2 linked regions of the Rhinolophus ferrumequinum genome follow. The protein of the gene in region 1 purifies or fractionates together with the protein of each later gene. This does not show direct contact. Links are inferred from orthologs where the notes say so. Each region holds a gene or a part of one and is shown in the gene's direction. Other genes may lie near its edges. The genes, in order: RARA and KLF5.

Region 1 (7,726 bases):
AGGCCAACAAGCCCACCTGGTCTGGCCTTAGCCCACCTCTACCGCCTGTTCTTGTGCCTCGTTCGTTTCCTCTTGAATTTTGTGCCTAATCCTCTGTCAGTTCCTTGAATGAACTTACCAACTTCTGTAACCCCAGGAGCTTTGCACAGGTTTGCTTCTTACTCTTTACCTAAGTAGGTCTCTGTTTTGAGGTCTTCCCTGACCCTTCAACCTAAAATTAGGTACCTACATTGTCTTTCGAAACACACTATGGATTTGTGTCATAATACAATTATTTCAGTTTGCAACTGTATATATATATGTGTATACACACACACACACACACACACACATACACACACACACACACACACACAATATATATATGAAGTTTGCGATTGTTTGCTTAATGGCTATTGCCCCATAAGGTCTGCAAGGGCAGGCTCACCAGGGTATCCACATAGGAGGTACTCAGAAAATATTTTTTCTTTTTTTTTCTTATTATTTTTTAAATTTATTGGGGTGACAATTGTTAGTAAAATTACATAGATTTCAGGTGTGCAATTCTGTATCACACCATCTATAAATTACATTGTGTGTTCACCACCCAGAGCCAGTTCTCCTTCCATCACCATATATTTGATCCCCCTCACCCTCATCTCCCACCCCCCAACCCCCTTACCCTCTGGTAACCACTAAATTACGTTCCCCAGATTAATTTTCAAACCCCGTGGCCATCCTGTGGTCACCGACTGCCCTCCAATCCCCTCACCCCCCCCTCCCGCCCATCTAGCAACCCTAATATTTTTTCTTGAATTGGCCTGGCATGGTAGGAATTTGGGCTTTGGCGACAGAAAGTTCTCTCTACCCTTTATTAGCAGTGTGATCTTAGACAACCCACTTAGCGTTGTTGCCACCTCAATTAATTTGTAAGACAGGAATATCTTACAAGATAGCTTTTCTTTTGGAGTTGCTAGGGGAATTAAATGACAATATATGTTAAGAACCTGGCTTCTAGAATAATATCCTTGGGAAGCATGTAAATTCCTATCTTTTTTATGGGATACCATCTCCTCCAGGAGCGTCCCCTCCTTCACGGACCGACCCAACCTGGGCCTTTCTTCCAACGGAACAGGCATCCCCGGGGCTTCCAGGAGGAAGTGATCAGCTGGAAGGCACCAGCCCCTCCTTTGATTTTTCTAGGGCTGAGCTGTGGGGGCGGGGGGGGGCAATCCTAGTTCCGCGGCTGGGAGACACCCTGGGCGGGGCTTTGCTCGCCGGAAGCACGCCGAGCAGAGGAGAGCCCCCTCTGCGCGCTTCTGTGCTGAAGCACCCGCGCTGCCGCCTCGGGTTCCGGCGGACTGCAGGCGGCTGGAGTCACACATGATGTCACAGACAATGACACAAGCCGTGTGTCTCAATCCGACACAGCTCCGGAGCTGCACAATGTCACACTCGGCACGCTGCGTCCGCGGCGCTAACACTTGTCCAAACGCACGCCCTTCACCTCCCGCGTCTCGGGGGAAGCTGGCCGGGCTCGGCTGGGGAGGGGGCCGGCGGGCTAGCTCCACGGCCGGGCTGGCGAGCGAGTGATGTCACGGGCAACGGTGGGTGGGTCACCCGGAGGTGAGGCGCCTCCAGGCGAGTTCAGGGAGAGTTCAGCCGCATTGCATTAGGCAAATGAGGCCCGGGCTGGGTGGGGGTGTGTGTTAGGGGAGGACACCGGGACCACCCCCCTCCTCGCACCGTCACCTCCCCCGCCGTGGCTTCGCTGGGTCGGGGACTGACCAAAGCACGGGGGAGGCTGGGAGCCGGAACTGGGTTGGGGGAGACGCCCGCCCCGTTTCCGTCCTCACCTCTGAGCGCAGCCCCCTCCTCTCCCCGTACCGGCCTCGGTCTGTACTAGGCGTACTCCTCCTCTCGTGCCTTTTCCCTTCTGTCCCCTCTTCTCTCCTCCCCCTCCCCAGCCTCTCCCTACTCGCTCATCAAATGCCGCCTCTCAGCCTCAGTCCTGGTGTTTCGCCCGCTGCAGCCAGGCCAACCGGGAAAGGGTTAAGCCAGGGGCGGTGCCTGGACGCGACTGGGCGGAGAAAAGGGGGTGGGACCGCAGGGGAGCGGGGCGCGGACTGGGGGTGGGGTGCAGCGGCGCGCACCACCGGAGCCCCAGCGGCTGGCCTGGTGGAGGCGGGGCCGCGCGGGGTCCCCACCCCCACCCGGAGTCCTCGCCCGGGAGAAGCCCAGGAGCCCCGGCGTGGAGGAGGAAGTGCTCGGTGACCGCCCCCCCGGTCCCCCCCCCCGCCTGCCCCGCGTCCATGCTGATCCCGCCCCCGGCCGGCGCACTTGGGGAGCCGCGGGACTCTGCCTTGGACACCATGAGACTCGACACGGGATCCCCCTCGAGGTGAAGCCGCCGAGTTCCCAGGTCTCGGCCGGGCGTTCCCGCGGGGAGCCGAGGGACCCTCCTCCCAGCGCACACAACTTCCCTGCTTCCACCTGGGACTGGTAGAGCGGCGGGCTGACTTAGACACGGAACTTTGGGCAGAGGGCGGCCCCCTGCCCAGGTTGCCAGTCGGGGCGAGGGGACGTGCCCCTCGCCCCCAGCTGCACTCTCTGGATGGCGCCATCGGCTGAGTGAGGGAGGCGGTGCGCAGGACTTCCCCGCCCGGACCTCTTGTCTTCGCGGGGAAGATGTACGAGAGTGTGGAAGTGGGGGGGCTCACCCCCACCCCCAACCCGTTCCTGGTGGTGGATTTTTATAACCAGAACCGGGCCTGTTTGCTCCCGGAGAAGGGGCTCCCAGCCCCGGGTCCCTATTCTACCCCGCTCCGGACTCCCCTTTGGAATGGCTCAAATCACTGTAGGTACCCGCCGCTCCTCTCCTATTGTAGGGATTGGGGGTGGGCGGTGGGGCTTCCGGGGATGCGGGCCTGGGGGGGCGGGTCTTGTCTCTACCCTTCACTTTCTCTTGTTTCTCTTGCTGAAACCTGGGTGTCCTTGCTGGGCAATTGGACTCCCCGAGTAATTCTGGGCGCTATTTGTTATATTAGGGCTGAGGAACTTTGGGGGTTCCTCCCTCCAGGAAACATTTGTTCATGTCTTCTTCCACTGGAGGAGAAATGAAGCCCCTTGCCCCACTTTGTATCTTCTTGCTTGGAATCCAATAGCTTCACAGCAGAATGGTCCTTTCTCCCACCCTGGAGGGTGGGGGAAAGGTCCTATTTGTGGGCTTGTCTGCCCCTAGGAGGAGGGGCCTCCTCCCCAGATCCCAGCCCTTGCGTCATTTGAGTGGGTGTCAGGGGAGCAATGGACGTCTTGGGTGTTGGCAGTGGGGTGTGGCAGGAAGGGGCAACTTCATCAGACACCTCAGCATCCCTTCCATCTTGGGAAGGGGCACCTGTCCATCTGACTGTGGTCCTGGCCCCAGACACTTGGCTGGCATCTTTGAGGCACCAGTCCTGGGAATGGAGGGGAGAGCTGCTTTGGTGCGAAGAATCCTCCTCCCCCTGCTCCTAACCTGGTTTGTTTGCTGGGGGATGAGTGTGTTTTTTGTGGGTCTGGAGTTACTGTGGAAATGGATACATTCCCTTCCCACACAGCGGTGCCCTTTTGTTACCCTGTGTGCACTTGGGATAGGGGCAGGTACTGGGCTGCCCCTTCCCTAAGAGGGGCGCTGATGAGAACCCTGGAGTCTTGGCATCCTGCTCACCTCCTCTCCTCATTGCCCTGTCTGGATTCAGGCTCCTCTGGCAGGGAGGGGCTCTGTCCACTGTGGGAGCTGTAAGTGCTTGGGGTATACTTATGGGTGTGTTTATACCCAGCTGTGCCTGTCCTGTATCTGGGTGGGAAAGAGCTGGCCCTCTGCTGGGGGTGTTTTTGTTACACTGCTGGGGTTTCTTCCAACCCCCCTCAGGGCTCAACTTTTCCCAGGAGCTTCTCCCACCCTCCCAGACCTGCTGCCTCCCTCCTGCCTGCTAGGGAGGAGGGATGGAGTGGGTCTCTGGGGGCCTGGCAGATTGGAGAGGATTGAAGGGCAACCTGCAGCCCCTTTGCTCAGGGAGGAGAGACAGACACCTACCTCTGCCCCTCCCAGAGCCACCTTAACTCCAGCCTTTGCTTTTGTCCTGCCCCCTGACCTTTGCCTCCGGGGCTGATGGCTGAGAGGCTGCAGACTGGAAGGGACGGTGTGAGCGTGCGTTGACTTTGGCAAAAAGGGAGAGGTGTGAGGTATGACCCTTCCATCCTCCCAGAGCTGGAGGAAACGTGTGCCCCCCAAGTGGATAATTGGGGCAAGGCTGCTAGGGTCACTCTCTTCACCACCTGGACTGCCTTTTCTAGAGGACTAGGGGTGAAGCAGGGATGGGAGACCTTGAGCTCCAGCCCTGTCTCTTCCTTTGCCCTTGGGGACAGCTCAGCTCTTCAACTGAAAGGGAAGGAAAAGGAGTGTGGAGTCTGGCAGGTGGAGGATTTGGTGAGGCAGGTGACGGAAGTGGAAGTCTGTCCCCCACACCCTTTCTGGGGTGGGGCAGAGCTCCAGGCCTGGACCCCTCGTCCAGCATTCCATGTAAGTGTGTGTATATGTCCGTGGGGTATCAGTGGGCTCAGCCCCCCAGGCTGTGGGAGAGGTGTTTGGAGGCCCTGGAAGGACTTGGAGACTGGAGGTGGCGACTAGACCCTGTCTAGAGTTCACGAGGTCACTACCACTGCCTTAGAAGAGCCACTTGGTATTTGTGGAGGTCCTCTGGTGACAGGGGTCCTCTGGCCCCCTAGCAGGAGTTCTCTGCTCCAGTCTGCCTCCTCCACTAAAGGTGGGAAGAGACTGTAGGACAGCTGTAGGAGGAGACCTCCTCCTGCAGGGCCCCGGGGACATTGCCTCCTTCCCCAGAGCCCCCATTTGGGGGCACTAGAGGACAAGGGGTACACAGGATGTGGTTCCCGGACTGTCCCCCACCAATCTCCGCTGCTCACGCCTCCGCCCGCTCCCAGACGTCCAAGAATGTGAAGCACGTGGCCCCCGTAGTGGGGGAAGGGGGATAGATGCTTATCGGCAGCTGCTGGGCCAGGGGCCTTCTTCCGCCCTGCAGCACCCGAGCCACCCCCACCCTCCCTCGGGAGGAGGAAGGGCGGTACCAAGGGCCCTGCGCCCCCTTCCCAGCCCTCCCCAGGGGCTGCAAGGGGAGCTGCGGAGGAGCGGGCGCCAGCTGGATTGGGAGGGGAGCCGCTGGCCAGGGGCCCGGCTGATTTCCTGCCGATCTCCTCCAGGAAACCGGCCCCTTGTGCGAGCCTGCGAACGGCTCTGGGGCGTGGGGAATCCGGAGCGCTCTGCGCCTCCTGCGCGCCCGGAGGGGACGGGGCGGGGGGGGGGGGGGGGGGGGGGGGGAAGGGCACCCTGGCAGTGCGGACCGTTGGGAGGGGACCCTGGCTTTCTGGGCCGCTGCCAGCCCGGCGCTGAGCTCTGGAACTTTGAGCTGAGAAGGTGTGGTGCTTCTCCAGCTTAGTCCTTCTGCAGGAAGAGGAGAGATTTGTGGGCTGGGGCCTCTGGGGGAAGCGGTGAGCGGGGAGGGGCCAGGGCATGGCAGTCCTTCCCCCGAGGATTGTGTGGGCAGAGTTAAAGCTGTGTCCTTAACTCTTACAGAGGCCTTGAGGGTCCCAGAGTGCCCCTCACCTTCCCAGGCTGCTGGCTGGCGGCCTGAGGAGGTGGGGACTTGGGCCAGGGCTCTGAGTTCAAAGGACACGCAGGGAAACAAACCTCAGCTCTGTTACCTGGGTGACAGGTGGCGGTGTGCTGGAGGTGGGGTATAAACTGTGATATAGCTTCAAAGGCACCCAGCTGCTGTCCGTAGGTGGCCAGGAGGATTCACTCGGCCCAACTGTAGCCCCTACCTGAGCTCATTCCCCCACCCTACGAAAAACATTTTTCAAAGCACATTCTTTCAGTTCCATAAACACCCTCTGGACTTTGCCTGAGCTCCCAATTTCTACCGGTCTTTGCCCTACTAGTCTTGTCTCTGGCTTTAGCGCTGTCTGTCCATCATCCTGGAATCCTGTGGGTCTTCCCATGCCCTCCACCCCACTCTGTACCCCAAAGCTCCCCCTCTCCTTTCTCCACCTCCAGTCTGGTCCATTTTAGAGGTGGGCCTTGGGGAGGCCGGGCCAGGGCAAAGGGCTGATGGGGGTGGGGGGGACATCAGTACCTCCATCCTCTGCTTGTTGGAATGCTGACTGGGATTCTAGGCCATGGCCCCCCCCCCCCACCTCTATGTCCTTGACACCCCCCCACCAGTCTGGATTGTCTATTGTTACTCCTGTAACGTCTTGGAAAAAGTTAGCACAACAAAGGGCTTCTTTGTGGCTCACCCCTCTGCCTCCTGGCCTCACCCAGGCCCCCCAACCCTGCCCCCCCAGCAGCTGTTCTCAGGCCTCTGCCTGTCTGATTTGCTTGTCTCCCGCCCCCCCCAGAGTGAGGTGGGGGGAAACCAGGCCAGGGATGTTCCGTGTTGGGGTAAGGAGCAGAGGGCTGGGGGGGTGGGGTCAGTGAAGGGTCTGTGGACTGGGGGTGGGGTGGGTGGACATCCACTGTTCCTTTGCAGTGGGCCAGGCTCTGGACAGGCAAGGGGATGTGGGGCCATCGCAGTGCTGGTCAGCCAGGCTGACCAGGCAAGTGGTGCCCGGGCACTACTGAGAGCCAGGAAAGCCCTGCCAAGGTTGGCGGCCTAGTTCTCTGTCAGCACCCGCCTGGCGTTCCCTGGCGTGTCTGCAGGTAAGCGGGGAGGGTGGCAGCGTGCAGCCAGCCCTGTGTCCAGGTGCTGCTTTTCTCTGTGCCTGGACTTTGGGGCCATGAGACTCATGGCCATCAGGTGCTTGGGCCAGCGAACCTTGTGTGTTGGAGTTTGGGGTGACAATAGGTAGGATTCTGGGGTGTGGGAAGCGGTAGGGATCTACCTACCTGGGAGGCATCCTGGACCCTCCTTGGCTTTGGACAAGTGGACTTAGCAAGGGCCTCAGGAAGGTGTTGGGTGGCTCCTTGGGAATGTGGGATTGCCTTGGTCACAGGTCTCCATCTAGAACAGTTCACCTCCAGCAGCCCAGGCTTTGGGCATAGACGCCTCCACCCAGCCCAGCCCTGCTCTGCCTGGGGCGATGGGCTTGGGGCCAGGCACTGGGGAGGCTTTGGCGAGTGGGGGCTGCCCTGCTGGCTGGGTCATCCCTCCTCGCTGCCCTCTGGGAGCTGAATAACAGGAGGGGAGGGGGATAGTAACCCGGACATAGTATTGAGGCCAGACAGACCGACCATTGATGGGAACAGACCCCCTTTGTCATGCTGCTCCCCCCAAACTGGGTACCCAGAGCAAGGGGCTTCCGGGGCCCATAGGGACTCTTCTCCCTGTCTGGGGGGGGGGTCCCCCTGCTTATCAGGGAGTCCCCGCCTGCTTTGCTCAACATTTGTAACTCTTCTTTGCACACCCTGCCTTGAGTCCCAGGCCAGGGGATTGTTTGGGTGTAGGAGGGGCTGTGGCTGCAGGCAGAGAGGGAAGGGGGGAGCGGAAGCTGAGGGGGTGGGGGAGTGGCCGGCTTTGAATATCCTGTTGACCCCAGTTTCCTCTACCCCCAGCTTGTGTCCTCTTCTTCCCTCCCTCCTCAGAGACCTTAACTCCTTCCTAACTCTGGGGGTAGGAGGGGGGGTGGGGCCTGGCTGCCCAGGGCTCGGGCTTTAGAACCGGGCTGACTCCCACCCCTACCTACCAGGTAT
Region 2 (8,248 bases), on another chromosome or scaffold:
GAAAGCTCCAAAAAGCGAAACTTGAATTTGCCACATGCAGAGCACTACACGAAATCCACAAGAATCAGGTGATGTGTAAGCACACCTGGCTGTAGCCTATATGCAAATATAGGTTATATGTAAATACTACACCATTGTATATAAGGGACTTTAGCATCCTCGGATTTTGGTATCCACAGGGGTACTGGAACCAATGCCCCTCTGATACTGAAGGACGACTGTATTCTGATTGCAAAGGGCACTTGTGGAAAATTGAGAAAATATTGAAAAGTATAAAGCAATGAAAAATTACCCATCATTTGACCATCCAATGATAGCCACCAAAATACATATTTTGTATTTTCTCTCGTCTTTATTTGTGTTTATAAAAACCTCAACCTTCTCTTTCTTAACATACTATGAGTATTTTCCTGTGTGACTAAATATTCTTACTAGTATGATTTTTGGTGATGGAACAGTAGCCACCAAATGTATTATTTAATTGATTTTCTATTGCTGGACACCAGGGTTATTTCCAATATCTATCTATCTATCTATCTATCTATCTATCTATCTATCTATCTATCTATCTATCTATCATCTCCTAGAGGGGCAATTATCTACTGCTTTAAAGGTTATTTACATGTTCAGCCTTCTTGATACTTAATGTCAATTGTCCTCAAATAGTATACATTTTACACAACCATAACCAGTGTATGGGAAGTTAAGGTACAAAACGCCGGCATTGGTCTTAGCACTATTTGTACACGTTTCATTTATAAATCAGTCTCCAAAAGGACATTCCTTTGTGACCCACGCGCAGTTCACCTAGTACCATTAGTGCTGGTGTCATCAGGGGAACAGCAATTGGCTCAAAACACCGCTCATTGTGATGCCAGTGACGTGGCCTCCTTAACGTTCTAAAAGATTGTTTGGTGTAAATGCTTCAGTTCAGGAGTTTTCTCTTCACCTTTCCTATCATGTTTAGAGTCAGAATTCAAATACTGTACAATATGCCTGGCCTATAACTTGGTTTGAGGTATTTATATTTATGTCACTTTTGTTTGCTTATTATACTAACCAGGTGGAAAAAAGCAATTGCAGTCTCCCCAAAAGGTAAAATTCTACTTTTTTGGTATATTACTAGAATTTTTAAAATAGGTTAGATAAATTACAGTACATGTAGGAATAAGTGCACATTGGGAGTTTTATGAGATATTTCATGAAAACATTTAAATACAAACTTAAATGTAAAATTTAATTTCTTAAGAACTGAGGTGGGAGATATTAAAAAAATAGAATAATAAGTTTTTTAAAGACATTTTAATATATATAAAAAGTATATAATCCTATTTAAATTACATATTGTCTCATCAAAAAAGGAATGAACAGAGCATTTTTTCTCATGTCTGAATCTTGAGTCAAAATGATTTGACTTTTGACTAAACTCATTGAAGCTTTTATTTATTATGTTCTTTTCTCAATGACTTTGTTTTTGGACATGTGTCTTAAAGCAGTTGCTATTATTGAAAAAAATTAAAGGATTGAAAACATGAAATGTTTTAAAGGACAATAATTATATTTTATGCTTTTATTGATACAGATTCTAACAGTAGGTGGAAAAGCACTAAATATCAAAAGAGTGAATAATGTCACCCTAGAAAAGAGTGTACTTCCTTATAAACATTTTTTTACTCATTCTTGTGCTTTTCCTGTGGCCCAATATCACTCAGTAATTTGATTTTAAAGAAATGGAATATTCCATGAATATTTTCCAATCAAAGTGAATACAATGTTGTTATCTAAAACACCTTTGATTCCTTAATTTTAATCTCTCCCTGTCCATTTTGGCCAAACAACTGAATACAGATATTTCTTTTGCTGTGTCTTCCTGTGAACATTACCCTAGTAAGAGCTCCATATTTCTCTCATCTCATCATTCAGAAGCTATTTATCCACTTTTTTCCACTGCCTCCTCCTTCAAGCCTCCCCTTCCCCCATCCTTGAATGCCTATTCAGCCCCCACACATTCAGGCGTATTTATTCCGGTAAAGATAGTGACACTTATGGTTTATTCTAAGACTAAATCTGTGTTGCCCAATGACTAAGGACTTAAGCATGCACACTGCTTCTGCACTTACCCTCCTACCTAACTTGACTACTCAACTTTTTTCTTTCTTTCTCTCAGAATTCTGTTTTGGCACAGTTCAGTTAACACACCACTGCCAGGCCACTAATTGATTTCTGAAACCTGACATTTGTTTTTTGTTTTCCCCTATCTTCCCTAATGGTACAGCACTACTAAGCAGGAAGGAATGCAAAGAACTAGAAAGTTCAAAGTAATTGAGGATCTGTCCATTCACACTGTCTGGCATTATGCCAGTGTAGAACCTGGAACATTTGAAAAATATTTATCAAGTTTTAACCCTTTTTGCTAAGTCGATGAAGTGGGTTTGCAGCTGTAGCAGTTGTGTGAACAGCAACAGCAAGTAAGCTTGGTCGAACATGTTCTTTATATGTTCAGAATCGCATGGCAAATGTCTCAAAAAAGGATTACTTTCCAATCTCCGTACGATTGTACAATGCTAAGCTAGTTATTTTCTGTGAGATTGCAGAGCTGGGGATTTCAGAGAAACCATTACTTAAAAGTGACAGTCCTATTTCATCAATCCTTATGTCAGAAATGAAATTTAAATAAATGCCACTGTATTTGAACGAAAAAGATTGTATTTAGCATTTCTATTGTAAGTGTGCTGCAAGCCCATCCATAGCTAGGTTCATATCTATATTCATTAAGAAAAGTGGAAATGTGAAAAAAATTAACAGGACTATCAAAATATCTTATTAAAATTTATCAGATAGCTGGTTCTTTTGTTTTTGTGTGGACTGGGAAAGTTTTGTAAATGAAAGCATGTTTTAAAATGGTGTGAAATATGGTGTGAAAGCTTTGTAAATGAAAGCATGTTTTAAAATGGTGTGAAATATGGTGTGAAAGCTTTGTAAATGAAAGCATGTTTTAAAATGGTGTGAAATAAAGAAATATAGAAATATTTCCAGTAAAGTAACTGGATATTACTGCAGTGAAAATTTAGGTTGAAATAACAGGCCACCGATACTCTGGTAAAAAGAAAGACAAAAGGTAAAGTCTAGATAGCCTTAAAAGCAAATTAAAATATAAATAGATACCAAAGTGTATTAATTCTAAGTTAGATTTAAAGTTAGAAACAATACAAAAGTTCTGTTGAGAGTTATCTATATCACACTTGGTTTGATCATATTATCAGCATGAATTAACTAAAATCAAAGTTCAATTTTTAAAAAGTTATATGAAATCCCATACCAATTCTATAGTCTAAGTTATTTAATTACATAATTAGATTCAATATTAGAGAAAGTCAGGATAGCTTTTTACAGATGAAGATGGATAGTATGGGACTGTTTGCTTAGAAAAAACTTTGCAAAAACACTTATGAAATAATACTTTGGTAACATGAAAGTAAGTCTTCAACCATTCAAAAAAAGCAGTGATCACAGCAATAAAAAAATGAATAATTTATTAACAAAAGGGAATGAAAAGGAGACAAATTTTTCACAGCATAATTTTGTTTCCTAATAACAAATAAATACCTCTAATACTTAATGTATTTATTTTAAAATTCTACACACTGAAATGAGATCCGTAACTTTGATAGATTTACTCTTTGAAGTGAACGTTTTTCTAGAACTTGTTTTTTTAACGTTTTACTGTGATTAGTAGGCTGCTATATATGTAAAATTGTCTAATGGTACGGTGTGCTGTCAACATGTATACATCTGTAGTAGTATTCAGGCATTTATATTGCAGTTTATTGTTCTGGCTTCCAAATAACCCAGATAAAATCATGTAGAAGAACATTAAGGATTAAGGGACGTGGTTTCCTTGCGTGACTGATGGCAAAAATTCACCTTGCTATTATAACATAGTAAGTAAGTGGACAGTAATATATTTGGCTATTACTTTCCAACAAATTTGGATTCCCAGTTTTCAGAACTGCTGTGTGTCTAATGTTTGTGGCTTCTTTTATTGTCTTTTCGTAGGAAAAGGTGCCACGGTGTTGGGTAAATGTGCTACGTTTCTGTTTTGTAAATATTAAACTCCACTTTTGAACATACAGTGCTAGCAAAAATAAGTCAAAGATGTAATGTCTATTTAAATACATTTGATGTAGTCGTTAGTGCTTAAATTAGATTCCATGCTTCGGCTCGAATCAACACTATAAATACTAAGAACTTCAAAATTGATATGGCCCACCTCCCTCCTCTCCACACACGGATACGAGGTAGAAATGTGTGTGAAAACGTCTAATATTTAAATAGTGTGGGGAAAAACAAGCTTTTATGAAAGGACTTTAAAAAAATACTTCCCATCAAACCTTTTATTCAAGCATTCCGAATATGCTTTGCTAAATGGATATATTCACTGCTCAAGATACACTGAGACAAGATCTGTTTTTAAACTTGTTTATCACACCGCCCCTAGTTTTCCGCTAAAGAAAAGTACATTTTGTTTATTTAAAAATACACACTCATTAAATAAGTTTTTCAAAACCTTAGCGTCCCAATCTAGCTGCCTTCTGGGTTTCAGCTTTTGAGTTTCAGGTCCTTGCACAACACCTCAGACATGCAAAACTCTTCTTTCTCTCTAATTCTAGCAGAGAACAGTCAGTGGAGATCTCCCTCCACGTCTCCACCCTAATTCCCTCTCTTCCTAGATTCCACCGGCTTCTCTCCTTCCCTCCGCCCCCGGCTCCGCCAGCTCAATCTGTCAGAGAACTTGTGTACAAACTGCGCGGCAGCCCTGCGCGCGAAGCTCGTGGCCCGAAAGGGGTGCGGTCAGCGCGGAGGAGGCGGAGCCCTGGGCGAATTTCTTCCTTCTCATAGGCTACACGCTCTGGCCCCGCTGGTCCCGGGGCCTCAGGATTCGCCGCAGCGCTGCCAGTCTGGCACGGGAGCCCCGCCCACTCAGAGTTGGGTAAAATAGACGCGGGCGTCAAGTGTCAGTAGTCGCGGGCCAGGTACGCGCGTTCGCAGCTCGTTCGCGGAGAGCAGCGGTGGCGAGAGCCGGCTGCGGCGTGTGAGGGAGCGCGGTGGGGCGGGGCGGGAGAAAGTGGCCGCCCGGAGGACGTTGGCGTTTACGCGTGGCGGAGCGGAAGAGTTTTGCTTTTCGTGCGCGCCTTCGAAAACCGCGCCTACTGTCGGCTGAGGGGTCCGCCAGGAGCTTCCCCTCCTCCGCCCGCGGTCCCGCGCGGAGTTCTCCGGCCTGAGCCAGCGTGGGCGAGGTGGGAAGCGCGCTCGACACGCGCCCCGCGCCCGGAGCCGCCCCCCGAGTGCCCATGGCTACGCGGGTGCTGACCATGAACGCCCGCCTGGGACCCGTGCCTCAGCCGCCGGCCCCGCAGGACGAGCCCGTGTTCGCGCAGCTCAAGCCGGTGCTGGGTGCCGCGAACCCAGCCCGCGACGCCGCGCTCTTCTCTGGCGAGGAGCTCAAACACCCGCACCACCACCCGCAGGCGCAGCCGGCGCCCCCACACCCCCCGCAGACGGCGCCACCGCCGGCCGCGGGTCCGCGCCTGCCCCCGGAGGAGCTGGTCCAGGTAGGAAGAGCCGCTCCCCTCCCTCCCGGCGCTCGGGCGTGTCCCGCCGCTGCGACGCGCGGGCGACAGGGGCCGCTCCAGGCTGGCCGTGCGTCGGGGCGCACGGGGAGCCGGAGCGGGGTGGGCAGCCCCGCCCTGCCCTCCCAGCCTGGACACTCGCGTTTCGCAGGGAGCAAGTCGGGCGACCTGAAGAGAGGGGTGTCGGAGATGAATCTGCCCTGGCGGGTCGGTCCGTGAAAGGTTAAAGAGGGAACTGGGTGCTCACGCGCACCTTTGTTTTTTTCTTTCATCTGGAGGATCAAACCTCGGACCTCACGCCAGCTTGACTTCAATTCTGCCTTTCGCCTTAAACCCCCTGCCCCCAGTGGCATGGCCTTGGCGCTCCCCCGTCCCGCGCCGTCTCGGGTTAAGTGGAAACGCAAATCGGGGTGCTGGGGAGGGGCCTCGCGGGGTGTTTTCTTATCTCTTGGCTCAACCTGTTTTAGACGCGATCGTGGGGCCGCCTTTGGGAAGCCGGAGTTAGAAAAGCAAAGGTGGTATTGGAGCGCTTGTTTTTCCTTAAAAAGAAAGCTGGGGTGTTGTTTTTTTCATGTGCGCGTAAATTTCCTCCCGGAGCCGCGTTGAAAGCTGGCAGTTGGCTTTTACACTTGCCGGGCAGCCGAATTAGAGCGGCCGCCTGTTTCTTTCGCCCACGCAGGGAGTCATATAGCCCAGAAAAAACTTCCCGGGACTTTTAGCCTGTCCCAAGGAAAAAAAAATTGGAAACATACCCACACGCAAACAGCTGGAAGAGCTAAAATCAGAAACCACTAACCACCACGAGAGCGGAGTGCACGAAAGGGTTTAGTTCGGTTTATTTCAAGACGCTTCATTTAATAGCTCCTTGGTAGATTGTACATTTGCTACTCGGCTCCTACTCCGGGGGGTCTGCGAGTGTCGCCACGCTGTGAAAGGACAGTGACGTTTGTCAGAGAAGCGACTCACATGATTAGAGCGTTAATTTTTATTTTTAAATCGTGTCTGTCCGGGAAACCCCGTGTACATGTACACCGAATGATACGAGGTCGATATGAAACCCTTTTGAAATTAAATAGTAGCAAAAGAAATGACTTACTCACCGAGTAAGATGCCACGGTAACAGCACCATGAGCCATCTAGTTGGGGTGTGTTTTTTTAAAATTTCCTTTTCAGTGTTAAAAATTAAGTTTTATGTTATACTGGGAGAGAAGATAACTGTAAAAAGACAGATTAGTTACAAGCTGGATTATGTCCAAAAAATCATTTAAACATGATTTTGTTACTGCAGTTTGTCAGTTTTCTGCTTAGGGGACACCAAGAGTGTAAGGTATGACTGAGCTTTTTACAGATGAAGGGGGAATGTAGCATTGGGCCACTGAGGAGGACGTGATAAATGTTTTGCTGATGACTGTGCTAGCAATACAGCAGCCTCTCCCCACCCACGGGCCCCTTAGCACCACTCTACCAAGGGAGTGATTTTCCCCTAGGTAATTAAAGATCTGTTTTAGATAGGGATATGAATAGGAACATTTCATTATCATATTAACCAATTACAGAATCTGCTGATTAAAATCAACATTTAGAACAGTTCAATGTGAACGTGTTTTGTTCTTTCAGTGGATACTATGTTTTGCTGAAAACGTTGTATTTAGGTTTCCATTGAGCTATAAACCAGAAAAGGCACTGAAATAGCCAAGGAATGTTTTATATTAGATATTTCAGCAATATTTATCTAAGCAAAACAAAACCAACCCTTTGTAGTAATATTTTTAAGGTTTGCTTAGTTAAAAAACACATTAGTTACTTATATTACATGAGCGGAATAGAGGTTGTTTGGCAATATTACAAGACTACTTCAGTTGCAAACTTAACTGTGTAATGGGGCAGGGAATCCTGTTTGTACCTGAGTGGTAATGAAGTATATTTTATTATTGCATCAGAAAGGAATATGTTTTCTGTTTGCTTCTTTTTTTTTTTTTTGCCTCATTCACTTTTTGTCTGGAGTTGATTGTGGGAACGATTTTACCAAATACATGTTATGCAGAGTTTCGTAAGGTTTTGGCGAACCAGTTATTACACAATTGACAAATAAACCTGATAATGTATATGAGCAGCACTAGAAGGAGTATGCCCAAGTACTTTCAGCAGGAATTGTTGGGGAATTTTTAGTAAGCACCGTTTATTTGTCCTTGGTGAGATGATGAATTGGGTGGATTATGCATGTTTGTATCTCTTCTTTTTTAGACAAGATGTGAAATGGAGAAGTATCTGACACCTCAGCTTCCTCCAGTTTCTATAATTCCAGAGCATAAAAAGTATAGACGAGACAGTGCCTCAGTCGTAGACCAGTTCTTCACTGACAGTGAAGGGTTACCTTACAGTATCAACATGAACGTCTTCCTCCCTGACATCACTCACCTGAGAACTGGCCTCTACAAGTCCCAGAGACCCTGCGTAACACACATCAAGACAGAACCTGTTACCATTTTCAGCCACCAGAGTGAAACGACTGCCCCTCCTCCGGCCCCGACCCAGGCCCTCCCTGAGTTCACCAGTATATTCAGCTCACACCAGACCGCAGCTCCAGAGGTGAACAATATTTTCATCAAACAAGAACT

Evidence for each region.
Region 2: the proteins of RARA (region 1) and KLF5 purify together in Homo sapiens (affinity purification with western blotting; 4 studies listed by BioGRID). This does not show direct contact. The link is inferred for Rhinolophus ferrumequinum from reciprocal best matches to the Homo sapiens genes RARA and KLF5.

What each region holds. Positions count from the first base shown.
Region 1 is NC_046304.1:36,756,358-36,764,083, forward strand, and holds the start of RARA (retinoic acid receptor alpha), read left to right. Parts: upstream 1-4,256; 5' UTR 4,257-4,335; coding exon 4,336-4,540; intron 4,541-7,726. UniProt on the Homo sapiens protein: Receptor for retinoic acid. Retinoic acid receptors bind as heterodimers to their target response elements in response to their ligands, all-trans or 9-cis retinoic acid, and regulate gene expression in various biological processes.
Region 2 is NC_046287.1:24,731,318-24,739,565, forward strand, and holds the start of KLF5 (Krueppel-like factor 5), read left to right. Parts: upstream 1-5,020; 5' UTR 5,021-5,351; coding exon 5,352-5,612; intron 5,613-5,997; exon of another isoform or gene 5,998-6,017; intron 6,018-7,874; coding exon 7,875-8,248. UniProt on the Homo sapiens protein: Transcription factor that binds to GC box promoter elements. Activates the transcription of these genes.